Linked DNA regions of Drosophila melanogaster. Changing the gene in region 1 together with any one later gene gives a genetic interaction. Each region holds a gene or a part of one and is shown in the gene's direction. Other genes may lie near its edges.

Evidence for each region. A genetic interaction does not mean that the proteins touch.
Region 2: of Arpc1 (region 1) and alpha-Cat, changing one suppresses a phenotype caused by changing the other (phenotypic suppression), as found in Drosophila melanogaster (one study listed by BioGRID).
Region 3: of Arpc1 (region 1) and DAAM, changing one enhances a phenotype caused by changing the other (phenotypic enhancement), as found in Drosophila melanogaster (one study listed by BioGRID).

What each region holds. Positions count from the first base shown.
Region 1 is NT_033779.5:13,827,441-13,832,767, reverse strand, and holds Arpc1 (Actin-related protein 2/3 complex, subunit 1), read left to right. Parts: upstream 1-3,026; 5' UTR 3,027-3,058; exon of another isoform or gene 3,059-3,124; 5' UTR 3,125-3,349; coding exon 3,350-3,422; intron 3,423-3,491; coding exon 3,492-4,552; 3' UTR 4,553-4,827; downstream 4,828-5,327. Other genes in the region: GatC (Glutamyl-tRNA amidotransferase, subunit C), read left to right, coding at 1-143; PolG2 (DNA polymerase gamma subunit 2), read left to right, coding at 140-830, 885-1,279; Orc5 (origin recognition complex subunit 5), read right to left, coding at 1,296-1,580, 1,634-2,731; PolG1 (DNA polymerase gamma subunit 1), read left to right, coding at 5,077-5,327.
Region 2 is NT_037436.4:23,334,269-23,340,311, reverse strand, and holds the start of alpha-Cat (alpha catenin), read left to right. Parts: upstream 1-2,211; 5' UTR 2,212-2,265; coding exon 2,266-2,437; intron 2,438-5,571; coding exon 5,572-5,948; intron 5,949-6,043. Other genes in the region: ND-MLRQ (NADH dehydrogenase (ubiquinone) MLRQ subunit), read right to left, coding at 632-778, 836-877. UniProt on the Drosophila melanogaster protein: Associates with the cytoplasmic domain of a variety of cadherins. The association of catenins to cadherins produces a complex which is linked to the actin filament network, and which seems to be of primary importance for cadherins cell-adhesion properties.
Region 3 is NC_004354.4:1,304,641-1,310,538, reverse strand, and holds the start of DAAM (dishevelled associated activator of morphogenesis), read left to right. Parts: upstream 1-2,066; 5' UTR 2,067-2,415; coding exon 2,416-2,463; intron 2,464-5,693; exon of another isoform or gene 5,694-5,773; intron 5,774-5,898.

The sequences.
Region 1 (5,327 bases):
CGGTCCTGGAGCATCAGCAGCTCCAGTTACGCAACGACCAGGTGACCGAAGGCGATTGCCGGGCGGAGGTGCTCCGGAACGCCAAGGTGACGGACGAGGACTACTTCGTTTCGCCGCCGGGCAACATTCCGCTGGAGCAATGAGTCGCATACAACGATGCTTTAAGTCCCTGGCTTCCGCTGGCTTCTTTCGCACCGTGGAAGACAATAAACTGGAGCTACTGAGTCATGGAAGGGAATACGCCAAACTGTTGCAACAGCATTGGACACGACTACGTCCCTTGGCTGCGCACCTGGGCGCCACGAAAGAACCCATAAATCCAGTCAACATCCAGCGTTTTTCCTTTCCACAAAGCCAGCAATTCCGTAACAATTTCCAAAAACTCGTCAAAGATCATCCTCGAAAGGCCAAATGTCCCACTCTTCTGAAACATCAAAGCACTTGTTCTGGTCCCACTAGCAATTCCCTATTTGGGATAAAGGGTCCTACGCTACATTTAACCACGGACTTCCTAGTGGAACCACATCGCGCACTGGAGCACTTCTACAACATGCAGCGTGAGAGCAAGATCTGGTGGATGCGTCTTTCCTCGAATCCCAGTCGCTACCGCATCGTACCTTGCGATTTGGCTGAGGATCTCAATCCCAACGACTATCAAGCCATCGATATCCGCACGAGCTACGGTGATGCAGGAGAAGTGACCGTGGAGCAACTGAGCCTGGTGAGAATAGTGGACGACAAAGACTTCCGGCTGCCCGATGCGCGAACGGGTGAAATTGTGCAACCGACTGTCATAAGGTCTGTGATAGAGCTGGAAACTACCACCTGCGGTAAGTGGTCATCATAACTATCTTTGAAAATCTTTCTATATTATTATCCTTTAGCTCTGCTTCTGGATGGCTGTGATCATGGCCGGGACTCGCAATCCCTGCTCTTACACCGCGTTCTGGCGCCATATCAATGTGGAATTGCCTGTGTGGAAAGTGATTCCGAGCTATCTGCTGACTTGTCTGATCTTTGTCAGCATCTGAAACATGTTCTCAACCACGCCGGTCTTAGACTTTCTGAAGGGGATGGAATTCGTACGACGAAGAACGCTTCTCATTTAGCAGAGCACTTGCTGGAAACGGATATGCTCGGCATACCTTATACACTTGTTATAAACGAGCAAACGCTAAGAAACGGACTGATGCAGTTGCGCAGCCGGGACACAAGGCTGGCGGAGACCATACACATAAGCGATGTACCGGACTATTTATTAAATATATTTAAAAACTAAAAAAAACAACCAGGGGCTACATAAAGTCGCAGAGATATTGGCGGACATTAAAGCCCACCACCTTGCCAATCTGCAGGACAAACTCCAAGCCAATGGTGCACTGCAGCCTAGCGGAACCTTCCATTATGTTTTGTTCGCCGGAGACGAAGCTTAGTAGATTGAGGTGCACCAAAGTTGAGATCTGGGAGAGAAGGTTGCAGGTCAGACCGACTTTCTCCTCTAGAATGGCGTAGAAAATGGCCAGCAAACGATCGATGCTAAAGGATTTGGGTCCCAAAGTGGTGGACATTTTCTCCGTGGTCTAAAAGGTATTAAAATAAGCAAATGGAGTCATCGAAAAATTGAATAACCCACCTTGGCTCTGGCGTTGACCGTCTGCATCCGCTTTCGCTGTTTTCCATGGTGCTTGACGAACAATCGCTTGTCCTGCTTGGCGGCATTGTGGCTGGCTAAGAAGGCAGCGATCAACAGAAATTTGGCATAGTAGGGCAGCTCCAGCGACTGCGCCAGCTTGCGAACGCTCTGATCTTCTATGGCGGTGAAATCTTCAACTTCTTCCGCGGGTTTTTCAATTCGCATATAAATCTGGGTTAAGGCGGAACGCAGTGGTCCAGCTATATGCCGCCAAAGCCGGGAGATGTCCGTGGCATCCACAGTGCCGTCGAGTACAGGCTCCAAGTATGTGGACAGACACTTCCTGGCGGTCAGCTGGAGCTCTGGAACATCGCGACAGGCTTTGTAAAAGACGCTCAGAAAGAGATTCAGATAGTTGTTGTAGAAGTCTTCAGTTACGGCTTCCTGGCAAATCTCCAGACGCTTCTTATCCTGGGCGAACTGTTCCAGCAGTTGATTTCGCACCTGCTGAAAGTCAGATCCCAGGATGCGCTGTGTCTCCGCCTTGTTGTACTGCGCCAAGTGCAGGCAGACGATTTCACTAAGTCCGGTCTTGTTGTAGAACTTCTCAAAGGGCAGCTGGGAGAGCAGAATAACGCACAGATTCAGGTTGGTCAGCTCCTGCAGTCGGAGAAGAACGGGCAACACATTGGCATCCATGTCGCGCAGCCTTTCCGCGTTATCCACGGCTATGAGAAATCCCTGATCCTCCACGCGTGTAGCGGCCTGCCGACGCAGCTGCTCCACAAAGTCCAGCATGTTGTCGACCTTCAGCGCATCACCTTGATCGGGTGCCAGCGAGTCTAACAGGATCTCCAGCATTATCTTGGTGGTGTAGCATTCGATGGCATTTAAATGCGCTGTGCGGACATTTTGCCGTTTTCCACATTCTTTGAGGAAAGCTCTGGTCAGAGCTGTTTTGCCGGTTCCACTGTGTCCGAATAGGTAAATTGCCGAGGGATATGTCTCACTCGAATCTCCTATCAGCTCGCCCAGCGTTTCAATGGCCGCCTCCCGACAGGGAAACAGCGGCTCCAAGGAGGAGCAGATGGCTTCCATAGCTGTCGTCTGCTTTTAAGTTTCCTCAGCTACCCACAGGCGAAGTGGTGTTATTTAAACGGGCTTTCAAAAGGGAAAATACTTCCTCGGTTTATAAAATAACAAAAATAAATTACGAGCCAGCCAGTTATTAAAAATTTGTTTACAAGAAATGGTTTCTGTTTAGTGTGACCATTGAAATGGCGCCAAATTATTCCCTCTGGTATATACCGAACGTGCGTAACAGCACTGGTACCTTAGCATTTTTCAAACAATCGAAAAATATCGATATAACGAAATAACGATAGTATTGAGGGCCATCGATTTTTGTTCCAGCTCTAATTTCGGGTGATTAATTTTGTGCATTACTTTTCCAAAGAGTTTTTTCCACAACGCTCTACTCTTCCGGCCCAGGCAAAGCCAGAATCCATCCCAGCAACGCCAGCTTAATCGTGTTGACGGCCCAGAGTCCGCGATTAAAACGAGAGCGAAGCTAAAATCCAGCGGAAACAACGCCCAATTGCTACACAGCGATATCCAAAATCCGAAAATCCGGCGAACCGAACCGAAGAAACTACGCGTGTGGTTGGATTTGGACGAGCGAACACTGCACATTCCGAGCGCATTTAGCCACCCACGATGGCCGAGACATACACCTTTGGCACCTCGCTGGCCTCCATCACCTGCCACGCATGGAACAAGGATCGAACCCGTAAGTGCGACCCAAATTACTCATCCGGCACAGTGTGACTCACCACCACCCACTCCCAAAAATTCGCAGAGATTGCCTTATCGCCCAACAACCATGAGATCCACATATACAGCCGGGAGGGCAGCGACTGGAAGCTGGCGGACGTGCTCAACCAGCACGATCTGCGCGTCATGGGCATCGACTGGGCCAAGAACACCAATCGGATTGTGAGCTGTGCCGCCGACCGTAATGCCTATGTGTGGACGCAGGGCGACGATGGCAAGTGGAAGCCGGCGTTGGTGCTGCTGCGCATCAATCGGGCGGCAACCTGCGTCAAGTGGTCGCCGGCGGAGAACAAGTTCGCTGTGGGTTCGGGCGCCCGACTCATATCCGTGTGCTATTTCGAGTCGGAGAACGACTGGTGGGTGTCGAAGCACATCAAGAAGCCGATCCGCTCTACGGTCACTTCGCTGGACTGGCATCCGAACAACGTTCTGCTGCTGGCCGGCTCCACGGACTACAAGGTGCGCGTTTTCTCGGCCTTCATCAAGGACATCGAGGAGCCACCGACGCCGACGCCGTGGGGCAATCGCAAGCCCCTTGGCCAGCTAATGGCCGAGTTCCGCAACTCGCAGACCTCGGGTGGCGGCTGGATTAACAGCGTGAGCTTCTCCAGCGACGGTAACAAGGTCTGCTGGGTGGGCCACGACAGCTGCGTGAGCATCGCGGACGCTACCAATGGCAATACGGTCATTCGATGCCGCACCGGCTATCTGCCCTTCCTGTCATGCGAATGGGTCTCGCCCACGTCCGTCGTGGTGGCCGGCTATAGCTGTGTGCCACTGCTCTACAGTCTGACTGCCGATGGAAAGCTGGTGCTGAGCGGCAAGCTCGATAAGTCGCAGAAGAAGGAGTCGAGCGGCATTACCGCCATGAGAATCTTTCAGTCGATGGACCGCAACATGCGCACGGAGAACACGGACACGGTGGTCGATTCCATACATCAGAACGCCATCACCAGCGTGCGACTGTATGCCGGCGACAAGGCGAGCGCCACCAAGGTGTCCACCTCGGGCGTCGACGGGCAGCTGGTCATTTGGAATGTGGAGCAGGGCGGCATCAATGGCGGCATGCGCAACCTGCAGATCTAGTGCGGCCCGGAACGGACCAGCGTTACGTGTTATTGTCTGTTAGCGAGTGTGTTGGCCTGGCCAGGAGCGAAGTATTTGCCAAAATGTTTTCCAAAATCGCTTTTCCCATTGTTCTGTACCGTGCGAAAGCCTTTTTACATAAATTAACCGAAGAGATTGTTCTTTCCCCCCCCCCCCCCCCACCAACTTCCATAATGGTTCCGAAAGTGTGTGTGTGTTTTAAAGTGTTTCACCTTTATAGCAAACTGAATAAAATGTTTTTTATTCGTAAAATCAAATGTTAAGTGTTTGTTTTTTAATAATTAATCGTTTCAAGCAGCAAGAAATTTGATTTGTTGGAATTTTTTGAAAATGTTTTATATTTATTTATTATTAATTTAACGGAAATAAATTTGAATTAAATCAATGTGACCGCCGCGCAAGCGCACAAAAATACCTAGGCTGGCGGCAATCTTACGGAGGAGTGTGTGGTCGCAGGTTGGACTTCAGTTGCCTTAAAGGATGTTTCCTTTATTAAAACGAGGATGCAGTTCCACCTGATCAGAAAGTACGCCAGCAAAGTTAGCCGGGAGCACTACGCCAGCAGTAGCGTGAAGATCTTTCGGCGGGTCAAGCCTCCGCAAAAGGTAAACAAACCAAAGAAGCCGGAGAATGTGGAGAATGGCCCAACGGAATATGCGGAAAATCTGGTCAAGGTGCAGATGATCTCGCGGAATTTGCACGCCCAACTGTTCCCACAAGCGCCGCGAAGCATTTCGGAGCAGCAGGTGGCCTC
Region 2 (6,043 bases), on another chromosome or scaffold:
TCCTCGACTATCAGATACCCGTTATTCAGCTAGTTAAAATGCCATAGCGAAATTTCATGATTTGTCTGGGATATCGATAGATATTGGTGAATAAAATTTTTGGGAAATCAATCAAAATTTAAAAAACTAATAAAAATGTGAAAAAATGTGGCAGTTTTTGAAGATTTGTGGGCGTGGCAACATAGGCCAACAAACTTGCGCTGCGGGTATTTCTCTAGAATCTGTATGCTTAATCTCAACCTTCTAGATTGTATAGTTCCTGAGATCTCGACATTCATACAGACGGACGGACAGCGTCAGATCGACTCGGATATTGATCCTGATCGAGAATATATAGGCTTCATATGGTGAAAACTCTGCCTTCTACCTATTACATACTTTTCAATGAATCTAGTATAACATCTTACTCTACGAGTAACGGGTATAACTACAACTACAACATAGTATATATTCGTGAAATATATATGTGTAATGGTTATGGCATGTCGGTTAAATCGCCAAAAAAGTAAAAAATTGCAAAAATACATATATCTATAAGCAAATTTGGTTATTAACAAAACCACGGTCGAGGGCTTTTCTTGGCCCATTAAAATATGAAAATAGAATATGAATATTAAGGAGCAAATCTAACCTTGTATTGCTTTTCTTTGTACTCTTGCCATGGTTCGGGATTTGATGTGCGATTCCAAGTGACATCGGGATTACGAGTAGCAAGTCGAGCCATATAGTAGACGGCTCCAATAGCTCCCGCTCCAACGCACACATAAAGTGGAATTAACTGAACAAATTTTTGTTATGCAATCAACAGATAACTTAATATAATCATAAAACTTACAGCTGGATTTTTTTTAAGACTTTGCAGACCAAGACCTTGCATTTTGTCTACGTTATAATTAAAATGTATTTAATATGTAAGAAAGAAACACATTTATAAAAAATTACCTAACTTTACTCAATCCAATAAAACAGAATGGAACTATATATTAGATATGGACATATTTCGATGCCAACAGCGATGTCATCGATGTTTTCCAAACATCGGCAACTCGATGTTGACTCAAACATAAAAATATATGTATTCATAACAGGCAGATGTCATATTATTTTATATGTGACATGCCAGTATTAAGCGATGCTGGTATAGAATGGGAACTCAAAAATCATGCACATAAATATTTTTTTTTACATCTAAGGAATATATTATTTTATATACGTAATTTTTATGCATGCTTGTCGCACAGGTTTTATGTTAGGCTGTCATAATAATTTCAAGCCGCCGGGAACGATATAATCTTCTGAAGTAGTCATGCATTTTTGTTACATTTTGTTTATATGTCGAAAGGATTTTTTTTCAATAATAACAAGAAAAAATGCTATGTAGACTTTCCCGACTATTAAATATCCGTTACTCAGCTAGAGGCAATATGATCGCGAAATATCATAATTTTTCTGGGACACGGATAGAAATTGGTGAATGCAATGAGAAAATATTTAAAATTGTTCAAAAATGTGGGCGTGGTCGTTTTTTGGTCGGTTTGTATCGTTAGAGTGGGCGTGGCAAAAAGTTTTATGACAAATCAATAGAAATTTACAAAACTAATAAATATATGAAAATATATATCAACACAATTTTCAAAAGTGTGGGCGTGGCAGCGTTAGGCGTTAGGTTAATATCATATGGTTAATCTAAGCTTTATAGCTTATATTGTTCCTGAGATCTCGACGTTCATACGGACGGACAGACGGACACGACCAGATCGTGTCGACTACTGATCCCGATCAATTGTTCCAATGCTTCCATCAGCCTATTAGGAACTTTTAAACGATTCTGGTATACCCTATTACTCTACAAGTAACCGGTATAATAATAAACATAGAAAACAACAATCCTGATATGTGTGGAATATGTTAATTCATTAAATGAAATATTTTTGTTGGTAAAAATTAAAAATATTATTAAACTTTTCTCAATCGTCTTCAATACTTGAATATCACATATTTTTCACGAGAGTTCAATCATCAAAAATCAATTTTAATTATTTTCTTAAAGTCATTACTAAAGAATGACTCACAGGACTCAAAACTACAAAACTATTTAACTTATTCATTATATATTGGTTACGTTACGTAGGTCATGTGGCTCAGTGGGACTATGATATATTTAAAGCCCGCATTCTTTACAGCACTGCAAAGTTACAATCCTGGTACTATTAATAATCAGTGGACTACATATTATCGAAAAAGGCGTCGTCGGTTAAAGAATTTATGTTAAAACCTGATAAAATGGGCACGTTAACCGATTTCGGACAGATAGCTTTGAAATGGGATCCCAAAAATTTGGAAATTCGCACAATGTCAGTTGAAAAAACACTTGAACCCCTTGTATTACAAGTAACTACTCTTGTAAATACCAAGGGCCCAAGCAAAAAGAAAAAAGGTAAAATGTTTATAGCTTATAGTGCCTAGAAAACCTAAATATTAGAACTTTCAATTTTAAAGAAACTTTTTGCGAGTCGTGAATAACTGTGCGTATACTCATTTTAATTTTATTAATTATAAGTATTGTGTACATACGAGAAATGATAGAAAATGTTCTAAAACGGCTGTGTATACTATACATACATATTGTGACATCTTAAATTTTGTAGGATAGAAAGCATTTGAATTCATGTAACAAGCTTAAAACTGAAAAGGAATGTGAAAGCATCTTTTACCTCTTTAAACGCAAAATTGCGAAAATATAAAAAAATAGCCTATTAGTGATTTACATATATTTTGATTGTGTTTCATTTTGTTATATGTATATCTTTCCAATTTCTATCGATATGCAATAAAAATGTTCAAATTTATAGTTCGCTTGGCCACTAGCTGAGTAACAGGTATCTGATAGTCAAGGAAATTTACTATGGGGTTCGCTGTAATATATATTTGTTACTCGTAAAGTAAAATGGGGTACTAGATTCGTTGAAAACTAAGTATGAGGTAGAAGAAAGCGGTTCCAAAAAAAAAATATATATTCTAGATCAGGATCAATAGCCGAGTTGATCTGGCCATGTCCGACTTTCTGTCCGTATGACAAAGCGTTTTCATATGAATTCATATTTTCATTAGTCTTTTAAATTTCTATCGATTTACCTTTTTTTTTTATTAGAGTTTATCATTTATTATTAGTCATACGTCAATAGGAATCGTTCAGTTCCTTCTGAACTTAACCTAATGTGTAGCTTAAGAGATATGGATTCCGTTCCTTAATTAAAGTGTATACAAATGTACCGTGGAGAGAATCGATTTATCAAAAAACGTTTTGCAACGCCCACTCTAACGCCCAAAAATTGGTTTTCACACAAAAATGTTTTGGTATTTTTCATACTATTTTATTGATCTTGTAAATCTATTGATATGCCAAAATACCTATTGTCAGGCCCACAAACCGCCCAAACTTTTTGAAAAATATATTTCTTGTTTAAATATAATTATTTCTTTTTCAATTTTTACCGATTTTCCAAAAAAATTGAAATCTTTCACACTTCTAGTTGAGTAACGGGGTATCTGATAGTCGGGGACTCGGTTATAGCATCCATTCCAGTTTTTGTTTTAAGTCATGTCAATTCTTTTTGCAAAACCATTTTGGTCAGGAGAACTATATACAGAACTATCACAGGATGTAAACAGCTGTCAGGCCCTTAAAATACAATAAATTGTTACTTCATATTATTTAATTACTGTTTTTATACCCGTTACTCGTAGAGTAAAAGGCAGAAGGAAGCGTTCCCGACCATTAAAAGTAAATATTTTTTGGGCTGGCTCCAGCTCTCTTGAATTTTTGTTCAAGAGCCAGATTTCGGAGAGCTCTTCAGCCAGCAACTTCATTTTACGCATACAGTGACAGCCGAAAACTTTTTGTGTGTACACGAATACTCATGCATTGTAAATTTGACAAAATATGCCCTACACTTCAGAAGTTTTTGGAATTTAAATCTATATTATTTTTGGTCAATTGGCATTATTTTAAAAATAATTTTTTCCTATTCGTATTATTTTTATGAAATATATTTTTTTAAATGTATTAAACTGTATGTGTTAAACTACAAAAGTAATAATAACTATTCCATATCGCAACTTTTTTTCATTTATAAGTTTAAATATTGATGAACCTAATATTAATGCTGTAAAAAAAAACTTCTCCCAGTCCCCTGTTGAAAACTCCAAACATGTTAATTCGTTTCTTAGATCAAAATTGATTTCGGCCCGAAAATCGTCTTCTAGCACAAGTACGCACACATATACACTTTCACGTTTAAACGTTACTCACACAAGCAACCAAAGTCTATTATTTTACGCTCTCAATATTATTCGAGAGAAAAGAGCACAATCTTGGCCGTCACCAAACAAGTAGCTGCTTAGTGAAAAACCAATGTATGGCCCTTACGCATCTTGTTATTCTAGTGTCTTTGATCTGACCCTGTCCGCCCTTCTGTCTGTCCGTTCGTATGAACCTCGAGTTCTCAGGAACTATAAAAGGTTGAGATTAAGACATTTACGCAGCTCAAGTTTGTTGACCCATGTTGGCACACCTATTCTACCGCCCAGAGCTGCTACGCCTGACCTTTGGAAAAATGTGAAGTTTTTTCATATTTTTATTAGTCGTGGAAATTTCTATAGACTTGCCAAAACTGTATGGTAAAAGAGTATACCAGATTCGTTAAATTCCGACTATATAAAGTATATATATTCTTGATCAGGATCAATAGCCGAGTCGATCTAGCCATGTCCGTATGAACGTCGACACATTAGCTAGAAGGTAAAGCCGCCCTAAAACCGCCCAAAACTGACACGCCTACATTTTTGAACCATTTTTCTATGTGCCTAAAATTTTTTGCCACGCCCACTCTTACGCCCTAATTTTTTATAATTTTTTTAGTCTTGTAAATTTTTATCGATTGACCAAACACTTTTTTTCGCAAGTGCGAGAGTACAAGATAGATAGAGGGCGAGAGAGAGTAGCTTAGACAACGAAAGATAATCGCCTATCTGAGATGCCGTAGAGCTTAATGTTGTGTCTCCAAAGTTGGCATGTTTACAAATAAGAAATTTAGGCATTGCTGGCTGATGCAAGACCCGAAAATCGATTTTATTAATGTGATCATTTGATCATTACTTAATGCCGTTTTGTTTTCTTATAAAAATCTATTTTCGCTAGCCCCATTGCAAACGATTTTTTTTGACGAAGCGTAAACAATTTCCTTGGCCTTGGAATCAAATAAGTTTAAATCAATTATAGTATTGAAAATGTGTGTTGAATATTGCATTCTGCAAAAAAACAGATGCCGTTCGAATTAATAGTATTTAAGGCTCGTAGACTCGGCGTTTTCCATCTTAAACTTTAAGCTGTTTGGCAGCTTCATTTAGGTAAGTTGACTCATTTGTAAATTTCTTTGGTGATCGAGAGGAAATAATCAACTTTTACATATATATATATTTAAGTGGTTTAAAAATATCAAAAAACGTATAAACATTGTCGAATAATCTTCTCAATTTTAATAGTTTCTAATTTGTATTTTGTATTTGCAGGAAAATCAAAGCGGGCCAGCGCATTAGTTGCAGCTGTTGAAAAAGCTACAGAAAATTTTATTCAAAAAGGTGAACAGATCGCTTACGAGAACCCAGACATTACACAAGAAATGTTAACAGCTGTGGATGAAGTAAAAAAAACTGGAGATGCTATGAGCATTGCAGCCAGAGAATTTTCTGAAGATCCGTGCAGTTCCCTGAAGAGAGGAAATATGGTGCGCGCAGCTAGGAATCTGTTGTCAGCTGTAACCCGCTTGCTGATTTTAGCTGATATGGTTGATGTACATTTGCTCTTAAAATCACTCCACATTGTCGAAGATGATCTAAACAAACTCAAAAACGCTTCGAGTCAGGACGAGCTTATGGATAATATGAGGGTATGTGTCGGAATAAAATAAAGAAATATTATTATCGTATATGAGAGCAATTCTATGTTTTGCCCTCCTATAGTCTTCGATAAATGAGTTTTATT
Region 3 (5,898 bases), on another chromosome or scaffold:
CGTACTTTCATGCTTTCTAGTGAAATTGAAAACTCATTTAAACAGCCGAAAATAAACAAATTGAAGACGACGCGGCCGTGGGCAAAATTTCACTTTCAACCAATGTTTTTAAACACCTTCTCTGTACTTTAGGATTTCGTCAGCTCAAGCTCAAAAATGATATGGATATGATTTTACAAGATTTCGGGCGGAGGCAGACTTGATGAAGTAGGAGCATCTGCGATTAGCTGGAAATGGAAAAGGGGCTGGGCAGAGGTTGTGCCTGGAGATAGGGGCGAACCAAATCAGATTAGCCAGGGAAATGAAGTGGGTTCTTTGAGTGATTACGAACTGCCTCATGCTCACGTTTTCTTGGCCCATCGACAAAAAGCTGCTAATGGGAAATTATGTCTGGCTGCATCACATAATGGCCAAGTAATTGCGATCGAAGCGTGGTGGCTTTCGGATGAGTTGGCACAACACCCATAAAAAGCCCTTCGAGTAGCAAATGGGAGATGGGAAATGGGAGAGTCGATTCGATTTGGCTCGGGCTGTGAGGATTGCATTAATCAATAGGGAGACTACCACTCCGACTACCTATGACTATGACGGATTCCTACTAATTTGCTTCTCGCCGTTCTCCTCTTTTCCACTTGCAGCCAAAGACTAATCCCAACAACGAAGCCAATTAGCAACAACAGGTGAGTAAGAAGTCATTGAAGACGGTTCGCTGCCGAGGAGGCAGTTGGTAAATGTTCGATAGGTCTAGAAAATCGGAAAATGAGTGCGCTTTACAGCCCATAAATATAAGTATGATACATCATTGAATAGTCGCTCTTCTATTTTCAACGATCAAAATTTAGACGTGGTAGAAGATGGTTACACCATCAAATTGGTTTTAAAATAATAATAGCATTTGCCTCTTCAACTGTTAAGGGTATCAAAAAGCTAAAAAAAAAAGGCGCGAATATCCAGCCAAAACAGCTAAAGAACGGATGGCCACCTCATGCCGTCGACTCCAAATTGAATGACCGTCAGCATTCGGTATTTGGCCAATGATCGTCGGTATAAGACAACAACATTGGCTCTAATAAGGACCGTTACATAAAAAAAAGAGATGATGAGAATCGTTGCTGAAAATCGGGAAGTGGAGATAGAGGGGCAGAGGCGGTGTTTTTACACGGCGGTATTGCCATGATATTTTATTTTTTGCATGACACTTGCAAAATCGAAACAAAAGAGAGGGAATAACAAACTTTACTTGTGACGACCTTAAATTGTTTTTGACTTTGACTTCGACTCTGGCGGCTTTGAGCCCACAATTGCCAAAGTTACCGGTGAACATGGCTATGTGCATGTTGCCGAACAACTTATCGAGCGGACTAACAATTGTCTGTTGTGTGCGGCTGATTTGCCAGAGCTAATTAAGTTGTTCGATAGACAGTTCGGCTGTCCAATTGTTTCTTGGCTTGGTTTCATGCTTCCAACTCCTTTACATTGGTCGGCTAGTTGTCTCCTTTCGAAGTTAAACTATCACTGGTTGGATTGCATTTGGGAATGAATCGCAGGTGGTATTCCAGTATCGTGGACCTTAGGCTCCGCTTGGTCTTCTAAATGCTCGTAGCAGTAAGCTCTTCGTTTCACACCCATAATTACCTCGATATCTCTTCAAGTGTCTCAGCCCTTGTGATTTCATAAATACCCCAGGAATGCACCCCGCACGCACATGGAAATGCAGCACCTTCCACCACCCACTATCCACCAAGGCGGCCCCAATCCGCGAGCCAAGGCGAGCGGTGTGCGGGCGGGAGTGCGACTGAGACTGGGACACAGTGGGGTCTGCGGCATTAGGCACAGAATAGGCTCAGAGCCCGCTTTCTGCCGTCGACCGGTTTCGCGTTCGCGTTGGAGCCCGCTCCGGCTCTCGGGCTCTCTGCTGGCACCTGTCGCTGCCACTCTGTCTTGGCCAACTTCTTCGGCTTGCCGCGGCGACGTGCTCGTGCTCGTCGTGTTGCTTTTGGCCAAGTCGCCGCTGCCGTGGGCACGTCTTGAGCGGCGAGCGTTCAATGCGCTGCCAGCCGTCGATAAGAACGCACGCGAGCGGGTCAAGTCATCCGGCAGACAGAGACCGGCTATGGAAAGCAAAACCTAAGGCTATAGGCTATATAGAAGTCGAACTGATTAAATCGGAAATTGGAAATACGCGCGCGCGTGTGCTTTTCGCAAAGCGAACGAACACTGTTTGAATACACTTTGTATGTCAATTTAAAATTTTTTTTTTCTTCGGATTAATTTTTTTTTGCATCAAGTGAATTGGCAATGAGCAGTGCGTGATGTGCGAATTGGTGCTGCATCCCAGTCCGCGGCAGAAGAGACTTGCAACGCTATAGTTATAGTTTTTGAATTCGAATTCCAGTGCTACAGAGCAGTATCATTATGTCGAGCATGAATCAAATGAGTGTCCTCATGGATAAGATCAACACGGTGAGTGCCAAGGGATTCTCTGGGCTTTTGGGGGCGTTAGTGGGTCTCTGGGTCGATCCACTTAAACCTGCCAAAGAGTGGACCTTTACACGAATTCGGTTCGGTTGTTTCGTTAAATTGAATCGCTTTTTGTGCAACCCAGTAAAATGGTGTGAAAACTATTTGCTACACTGTCGCCTCGAATACTTTGTACATTTAATACATCTATTGTTATATTCATAAACTATTTTGTTTGGTTAGGAAGTCTGTCTAGCTTCTGTGCTTTTACTTCGCAACCCCTTTTGCAATTTCGAAGAAAAGTTATTGGCTGAAGGGTAAGTCCCTCTTAACTGCTTTGGTTTCGTCACGCAGTTCCCTGCTGCACCTCTAAGGTTTTCCACCTGCTGTCTGTGAGCCTCGTATCGAGGGGGGGGGGCGAAGTAGATGAGGGGCAGGGAAAAGGGGGAATAGGCAGCGAGAGTCCGCTCTCACTTGACCAACAATTTAACGTCATTTGCATTCAAAAGTGTCGCCTAGACGCTCATAAATAAAATGAAATTGAAATTTTTGCGCCTCACTTTTCCCAGTCCCCCTTCTCCGATCGCCGATCCCCGATCCCCGATGCTCGGATGCCCGATGTCCGATGCCCGGGTACTCGACGTATTTTGATTGTGTGGAAATGAAAGTGAAATGCGCTCCAGCGAAATTAAGTGCCCATTGGCCGCCATCCCGCAATCCACCAATTCCCCCGCTCACTTCGCCCCTGATTTAAGTGCGGCTGAATGAGCTTCAATTGAATGAGCTGACGAAATGCCGCGCGCCGCATAACAAACATAAAACAAAAATCAAACGAAAAACAAACAAGTGGCCGACGTCCAATTCGGCAAATTATATGGCGGGATGGGATCGGTATTGGAGGTACCGAAAGTACTCGAGGTGCACTGCAGCCAGGCGTCTGCTGTTTGTGCAACAATAATTAATTAGTAATAATTTTCGGTTGCCTTCTTGTGTGCGAGTGTAGAAATGCCGATGGGGGGTAAGAGTTGGGCAATCTGAACGGTCGAGCCTCTGCTGGATCCTCTCAAGACCCATCCCATGCTATCCCATTCTCGCACTCTCGACCAGCACTTATTGGTTGCGATGAATGAAGCAGCTCCTGGCTTGGATTCGGCATGAAATTAGAAGACTGCAACTGCAATAGCTTTATAGCAACCCAGCTGACTGAAGTCCATCGAAATGTATGTATGGCTTTGGAAAGGAAAAAGAACAAATACTGCACAGCATAGCAATGGCATTTATCGCATATTTTACACCAACTCAACTGACACAACACCTCTATGCTGGTTGGGAAATGTCATAATACCACTTGTCTGTCCTACGCTCTACTTGTGTGGGTTTTCAATGACTTGTAGCTCCACTTCGGGCTGCGCTGAGTTTACTTCCTGGCGACACACTGACGCCTAGAGGGAGTTGGGCAACGGGAAGGGGCAGGGAATGGGGGCTATCATAATTCGCGATTGGAGGGATTATCCCCAACGAATGACCAATAATTAACGGCAAGTTCCGTTGTGACGTCAACTACCGCAATCTGCGCTAGAATTCCATTGAGCTTTCTCCACGAAATGCGCAGGTTGCATAATCTGCATCTGCATCAGCATCTGCATCTCGGCCAACTGTTTGCTTCTGCATCTGCAACTGCAACTGCCGCCAAACCCGCTCGCGAACTGGTTCGTCTGGCCTGTGGCCGCCTTATTTATGACGCAAGCCGCTGGCGGATTCTAGGCTCTAGGCTAGCTAGGCCAGACTGACATTGGCCTAGCCCACGGAGTAGTTCGAGGCGATACGGGGGCATTCAGCAGACGGACTCGATTCTCACGAGCACTGGAGCTGGAATGTGGGCCAAGTCATTGGATGGATAGTTAAATTATCTCAACCGGTGGCTTCACACTTGCTCACCTCCAATTACCTGCTATTTATATGTGGCACTTTCAGCTTGAGGCTGCAAGGCCTGCTAGTATTTCTTGGGCTATGCCAAAGTCTGCTACAAAAAAAAAAATATATCTATTGCATTATAGTGTATTTATAGTGTATGAAATAATAATATGGCATAGTCCGTAATCCGAACCCTAGACAAATCCAGACAGACCGCCAAGGTCTCCGGCCACCCGTCTCCTCGATTGTGGTGACCGCATCACAGAAAGTTGATTCCCGATAACGGATTGATATCACTACCTAGACACGGGAAGCTCTGACCCATATAGCCATATAACCCTATAGCAATTGGGCATAGGCCTGGCCGCACACGAACACTTTATACATTTTCGGAGCCCATATACGGAAGCCGTGCAATGCTAATGAATCGCTGCGAAAGCAACCGAAACCAGGCACCACCAGCACATGACCAAAACTAGACTGGGAAAAGTGTGTAATAATTTCCTGTCTCAGCCTGATTTGCATGTGAAGTCCCCACTCCAGCTCGATTTAATCCACTTGGACTTGGATTCGGATTCGGAGACCGCTGCTCTCCAATCCAATCCAATCCAATCCAATGCAATTCACTCTACTCCACTCCAGCTGGCCGTCTTGTTTGACTTACTTCATCATTCCTAATGGCAATAGATACCAAAGTATCTGCATGTAATGCGATCCATTTGCGGGCCACCTACGCTCCGAAACTTTCCAGAGTTTGTCAGAGATTTGAATTGAAATTTATGCGGACATGAATTAGCCGCCGCTGACCCGACTAATCAACTGGAAAAGCATAATTCCTTTGTTTTCGCCTTTTTTTTTCCGAGTGAAAGTGCCCATCTGACAGCTGATAACGCATTTGTTCGTGGATCGGATGTGGATGGGATGTCCGGCACATAAGCCAAGCAATTAGCAATTAAAGGTAACCATATCGGGACATATTAGGTTCTCGTTTATATAAAATGAGCTGAAAGCGATCGATGAACATTCTTTTTAAATTATATGTGAACAAGAAATCTAAACGATAAATACACCTTAAACGAGGAGTTCCATATATATAGTACAATACCATGTATCTCAGTATTTGCTCTGGGTAATTATCACATCAGCTGTGATAAGATTCCCCGCCACCTTGCTCTTCCACTCTTTCGCTGAGTATCTCCGCATCTTGGATGGCGTATCATTGTCAGTGTCAAAGCAAGTAAACATGCAAAGCAAGGCAAATATAGCTATATTTTGGACCGAGTTGGATAAGATACGGATCTCGGCCAAAAACTTTGCCCAGTTGAGAACCCAGTTCTGGGGCAGGAAGATGCAAACAGCCGTGCAAGTTGAAGTCAAGAAGCCGCCGCGAAAAAACAAGGTGAGGTTCAGTTAGTTTGGAATCGCGATTGGTTTCGTTCGGCAGGGGCCTAAGGTCAAGCTCGTTTTCCCTGACCCGCTGCCCCACTCGGCAATGGAGGTGGCAATCCCAACCATCCTCAACAC